Nothobranchius furzeri: one gene and its partner. The protein of the gene in region 2 interacts with the protein of the main gene of each other region in a pairwise test. Links are inferred from orthologs where the notes say so. Each region holds a gene or a part of one and is shown on either strand. Other genes may lie near its edges. The genes, in order: gadd45ga and tsnax.

Region 1 (3,702 bases), on a different chromosome or scaffold from region 2:
CAAAATGGCGCTAAGGGAGTGTGGTTTACACTCAGGTCACGTGTCTGACAAAGACAAATTAGAGACACACATTTGTAAGAAAACATGAAAACAATTGTTTTTGGGTGTTTCAAACTTCAGTATTTAATTGCAAACATTTAATAAGAGTTCAGCTACGGTTGCTGTGGGCACAACACGTTTCAAAATGTAGCTATTTTGCAGAAAAAGTATGTTGAGATCTTAGTTACGTATCTCACAGGAAAGTGTTTTTCTCCACATTTCTTTTTAACTTCATGTAAATGCATTCATATGCTTTGGTTCCACATATCACATTACGCTACATTATCACAGAAAAACAAGTTCTTATGACTGCGTGTTCTGCCATTAGCGCGGGGGGGGGGGGGGGGGGGGATTTGGCACTGGCCCACCCTGGACCCCTTCTAGAACTGCCCCTGCTTTAATGCAGTATTGGTGACACACCAGATGGAACAAAACACATCTTTCCCAAATTTTCTGGGGATCAAGTAGCTTTATATTTTTGTTAGATGCACTTCCCCTCACAGAGAGATTTAAAGGTTAAAATCTTGTTTTTTACCCCTCTAAATTTGAATTACTCACACATGATACTTCAGTTATTAATAATAATAATAATAAATAACTGCTGCTATTGTAGATAATAGACAGGACCAAGTGCCCCTTTCTGAACAAAACAGCATCTGCTTATGATGTTGAATGCAAACACCGATAAGATAAAATGGTCAAGAAATGCTACCGGCTGCGGCACGTGGCGTTCCTTTGTAATTATTCTTTTTTAGGAGGGGCTCGGGCACATCTGTCGAACATCTGCTGCGGGTGGTCACTTAATGGCAATAAAGATAGCGCGTGGTCGCACAAAGAGCGCGTGCACGCACTCACACAACACGCTGACATGCCGGGCAGGTGGATCGTTGCGTGAGCCTGGCTTTGTCTCCAGAGGGAGACGACACGCGTCCCGCGGCGTCGCTTTCAACGAGCGAACAAAATAAGTGGCGCGTGCCCGGCCACAGATTACTGCGTCCCCCTTCTTCTGGACACTTCAAGAAGTATTTATGTAACTGATAGAGTCAGAGCGAGCTCCTCGGAACAGAACGGGGTTGTTCTGCAGCTGTAAACAGAGAAAGGAGCGGGTTGAGTAACAGGATTGAGCTCGCGCGCGCGCGCGCGCTGGTTTATTAAAGGGAAAGGCAATTAAATCAAACTTCCCAGTGATTCCCAACGCTGGGAAAGCGATGATGTTCATCATTTGTTTAATTGTGTTGTTTCGTGTTCGATCATTTCATGCTGCGCAATGTTGGCTCGTTATAAATAAAACTCACACAAAGAAAGCAGGATTCCTGGTAGACGGGAGTGTAAATAACATTTAAATCAATAGCGTGCAATCCCAAAAACAAATCAGTCAAAGGACACATCAGTGACTGTCCTGTGACTTACTGTGGCCACCGCAACCAGGACTTGTAGTTTTTGTACATTGTGGTGATGTTGGATGTTGACAAGACAAGGAGGGGTCGGTGGGGGTGAGGGGGATTTCTTGAAACGGTGAAATCTTGCCCCACGTGGGGTTGTCAACAGCTCAAAGTGGTCCGGGGACTTTTGTTGTACTGCTTCCAGCCAATCGTTGGAGTCAGGAGCAGAAAGACCCGCCCCTTGCCGAGAAACGACGCCAGCCAGCCTTTAAAGCCACCTCCAGCCGCGTCAGAGACCAGAATAACGCCGGAGACGCAGACACAGCACACACGGCTCATTTTCTCTCTTCACCGAGCGCTTGGATCTTTATCGCTATGACTCTGGAAGAGATCCGCGGACAAGAGAACACCATGGAAAACGCTGATAGGTAAATATCTCTCGCCTCTTTTTAAAATGTTACTTAAAAGGCAGGAATATTGAAACGGTTTCATTTGAACGCCCGGTCCTGACGAGATGCTTTTGTCTTTGTTAAGAGTGCAAAGTGCAGGCGCAGCCCTGGAGGAGCTGCTGGTCGCTGCTAAGCAGCAGGACTTCCTGACCGTCGGAGTTTACGAGTCTGCTAAAGTCATGAATGTGTGAGTATCGCGACTTTTCCCACCGCTTTTGCACGTTTGCTGCCAATCAAGTGTGACGGGGTATCATCTGATCGGCCTCCCTCCTCCTCCTCCACAGTGACCCAGACAGCGTGGCATTCTGTGTCCTCGCCACGGATGAGGAGTACGAGTGTGACATTGCGCTTCAGATCCACTTCACCCTCATCCAGGCTTTCTGCTTCGATAATGACATCAACGTGGTGCGCGTGAATGACATCGAGCGCCTGGCGGACCTCGTGGGTGCAGACGAGAGCGGCGAGCCCAAGGACGCGCACTGCATTCTTGTCACGGTGCGTAAAACCCAGAAGCTTGCAGCCAGTGACTCATGCGTGCATGACTCTTTTGGTCGGACTCTTGTGTCTGAAGGTGGCTCTAAACCGTTTTTTGTTTTGTTCATTTCAGAGCCCCAGTGCAAACCCATGGAAAGACCCTGCTCTGGACAAGCTGAGTCTGTTCTGCGAGGAAAGCCGCAGTGCATACGACTGGGTGCCCACCATAACCCTGCCAGAGCGCTGAGGTGACGTCACACCAAAACGCTGCTGATGAGGATCGTGAAAAAGAAAGTCAAGAAGTTGACCTTCAGCTGAGCGACTCGAGGAGCCGTGTGCGTCTGGATTAAGAGGCTCTGGCTGCATCCCCAGTCTGCAACCCTTCCAGAGCGTTCTGGGTCGGCGAGTTGGTTCTGGATCACCCCCATCCCCCTGTGATGATGGGGCTGAAGTTCTGAGATCAGTGTCGACTGAGTCAAATGGCACAACGCTTTATGGACACTGAGGAGGAGGTGGACTGTGCTGGATGGTGACCCTGTGCTGCCCCCATGTGTGGAGCTGAGCAGCGGGGAGAGGTGCAGTGGAATTCTGAAAGTGGAGACCGACTGGATCTCACTACAAAGGAACAGTTCCGGTTCAGAAGATGAAAGTGTCAAAGTGGAATCTTTCTTTTTGAGCGCAGCTATCAGGAACTTCTTGGAATAAGCAGAGACTTTGCTTGCAAATCCTGATAAGAGCTGTGAGACTCTTGTGGACTTCTTTACACACTATCATTATTGTTGAATGTGCATACTGAAGAACGCAACATCCGTTTGAATTGTACTGAAATGCTTTGTGAATAAACATGTAGAATCAAAACTCCTGCTCCTTTTCAAGTTCTTTAAGTTTCTTCTCTTGAGGCGAGCTGACATGCAACCGATTGTGAGGATGCAGAGAGCGTCAGGAAGTGTTACTGGTTCAGTTTCAGAAGAAAAGGGAAAATTTAGGCGGAAGGAAAGTAGCGATCAACATTAAAACATGGCTGAAAGCACTGTTTCCAGGTATTGACCTTTAACCGCACACATGCACCACAAACCACATTAGACACCACGCAACAATAAAGGTGAAAAAGATGTCATGCAGCAGGCAGTGAACATGTTTATAGACCCCCAGAAGCAAGCACGTGTGTGTGAAAGAGAGAGAATCTGCACAGAGCTGTAAGAGAATGAGGGTCACTGAGGGGAAGAAGTGCATGCATGTCAGTGTGTGTGTGTGTGTGTGTGTGAGTGTGTTGCGGTCGGTCCAGAGCAGAAACTGACAGTAATAGGTGGCCCACATCAGAGAGATAGCAGACTTCAGAGAAGCTCTGTTTGATTTTC
Region 2 (2,655 bases):
ACCTTAGTTAAGGCCAATCTGAAAAGTACTCAAAATTCAGTCTGGAGTAAATCTAACACTAAAATATCATAGCTAGTCAGACATGGTGGTGGTAGTGTGATGGTGTGGGGCTGGACCTGGACCACTTGCTGTAACTGACTGAACCTTAAGTTCTGCTCTCTAGCAGAACATCTTGAAGGTATGACCTTTAACCTTAAACAGGCTGCTCAAAATGGAAAACCCTCCAAGTTTAGTAACGATTAGTAAATTGCGCCGTGCTGATGTCAGACGCTCGTTACCGTTATCACAAACCGCTGCAGAGGGAGGAGGGTTTAACGAGGATAGAAGCTACGAAGCAGGGGGGTTGTTTTTTGAGTGTGGGCCTGTTGATGTACAAAGGTTGCATGCTCGTGGTCTCAGACTGCAGCAGGAGCCGGCAGCCAATAGTTTCACCGTGGATTACCTGTGTGTGTTATGGAGGGAGGGAGAGACGGGCAGAGAGAACACACACAATCCAAACATTTTAAAGTTTGGCACAGAACTTTTATTCATGCAACACAACTGCAGTAATCAGATTATTATGAAAAAAAACTTCTATTGTAACAACGCTACTGTAGTAAAAACGAAAAATGGAGTAACGCTAACCCTAAAACAACAAAACGCACTAGTGAAGCGTGTGGAGCTACACTACTCCCTCCTCTGTGTCCATGTGGGTGGTTCTGCTGCAGAACAAATCAGCCAGCATGTGCTTGGGGATCTCAGAGCCGCGGACGTGCAGGGTGTAGCACGCATCCTCCACCTTCCCCAGGCTCTGGCGAAGCGTGTGCAGCTTTTTGGAGACCTCGTATGGACCCGTGTTCCCGATGTAGGAGAAACCGTCGTGGATCTGCCTCAGGAACTGGCTCAGCTGGAAGGGAGTCTCTATATCGCCGTTGCCCACGCTGCTGATGCACATGCGCATTAGCTCCCCCGTCAGATCGGCCACGCCCAGCAGGTAGTCCGCTGGCGTCACCTGGAAAGTCAGAACGTGAGTTCCTCGCGGTGCAGCTTCAGCAGAACCCTGAAGGGAAAACACAGAAAGATAAATTAGTTTTTCTCAGAGGCTAGACAACTCCAGGACGAGGTTTTCTTTAGGCACACCTTCGGATCCGCCTTCTCTGTCCCCATGAACACCAGCCTGGCGTTGATCTCCTCCAGGCTGATGAGGCTGCGATGACGGATGTAGTGCAGGAAAGAGACGGCCTCCACATATTCTTGAATTCCTGAAATGTGAAACTCCATTAGAGTAAAATCACATTAAAAAGCTGTTTCATCTTTAAAGCTGCTACCAAAAACACAGATCGTGCATTTGTCCTCAAAAAACAAAACAAAATACAACCATGTATGATGAGCTTTAAACGCTACCTGAAAACAATCCCTCAAAAAGAAACCTTTTCCTGTTTCTGTTGCTTTGTAGAAGAGCAGTGTGTGTGTGTGCGCGTGTGTGTGCGCGCGAGCATGTGTGTGTCATGCTACGACGACCCCTCATTTGTTTCCAGCTCCTGAGTAAACAATAATCAAATAATCACAGGACGGAAGCGGTCGTGTCTGAAGTTTACTTTTGGAGCTGGAGCTGGACTTGAAAGGGCCGGTTCTGGTATGTCCCTGGTCCCAAGGTGCTGCAGAGCACTGTAGGAAGCATTATCTCCACTTCTCTCCTGATTATCTGTCACTTAGGAGTCTCCTTTTAGCACGTACTCGAGTCAAAACAAACGAAACTAACAACTACGCTCAAAAAGGTCGACCCAATTAGACCTTTTAAAATGAAACCTAACTGGTTTTCTAATCTAAACACCAGAGACTGATGTTTGTTTACTTTGATAGTTTTGCTCATTATGAATTATTCCCCACTGTTTAGATTAATTAGCTCATTCAGTATGTCATGATTAAAGGTAGCTATTTTCCCCAAAAAATGAATAATTTTAATGACCTCTGAAATGTAGAATCCTGAAAAACCTCATCCAATCACTGTGAACATCACGTTCTTCATTAATGGATCCTGATCCATCAATCAAACTGCCCTTTGGCGTCCCTCCCCTCTCTGCACACACCTCTCTATGTGCATGAATCGTGTGTTCTCGACCTGGAGCAGCTGAACAGGAAGTGAAGCCAGAGTACGCTGCCTAGTGTAACAGACTGAATGTTCCATTACGTTTGCAAATTGTTTCACATCGTTTGTACATTCGTTATGTGTGATCCGTCAAATTCCATTGCTTGGAAGGATGTCCTCTGCTGCCCGCAGATAAAAGGAGAAGGAAGTGACGCCTAACCAGTGGTGGTGCTCTGAGGAAGCTACAGTGTTAGCCGAAACTTGTCAGCTTAAAATGTAAAAACAAATCTTTTCTAAAATGTTTTTAGAAAAGAACCAAGCAATGGAAACGTTTCACGTGTTCCATTTAGAGTTTGGTTCTGTTCTTGTTGGGAAACATTTAGGTGACGGACCTGTCGTCTAAGAACACAGCCTGTACTCTGTCGGCTGGTGGAGTCACCAGTTAGTTGCCTCTGCAACAGCTGGGTTCTGGATGTCTTTACCTGTTATTTGCACAATTGTCTCTATGTGTTTGCAAATATGTCTAATAGAATAAGTCTATTCTATTCTATATGTCCGGCCATATAAAAGAACATGTTGATAAAGTG

What was found.
Region 1: the proteins of tsnax (region 2) and gadd45ga interact in binary tests that used the Homo sapiens proteins (3 or more experiments, as listed by UniProt). The two-hybrid records come from large-scale screens. The link is inferred for Nothobranchius furzeri from reciprocal best matches to the Homo sapiens genes TSNAX and GADD45G.

What each region holds. Positions count from the first base shown.
Region 1 is NC_091757.1:52,117,661-52,121,362, forward strand, and holds gadd45ga (growth arrest and DNA-damage-inducible, gamma a), read left to right. Parts: upstream 1-1,581; 5' UTR 1,582-1,796; coding exon 1,797-1,849; intron 1,850-1,955; coding exon 1,956-2,057; intron 2,058-2,154; coding exon 2,155-2,365; intron 2,366-2,477; coding exon 2,478-2,591; 3' UTR 2,592-3,202; downstream 3,203-3,702. UniProt on the Homo sapiens protein: Involved in the regulation of growth and apoptosis. Mediates activation of stress-responsive MTK1/MEKK4 MAPKKK.
Region 2 is NC_091752.1:2,307,019-2,309,673, reverse strand, and holds the end of tsnax (translin-associated protein X), read right to left. Parts: intron 1,242-2,655; coding exon 1,120-1,241; intron 1,040-1,119; coding exon 662-1,039; 3' UTR 501-661; downstream 1-500.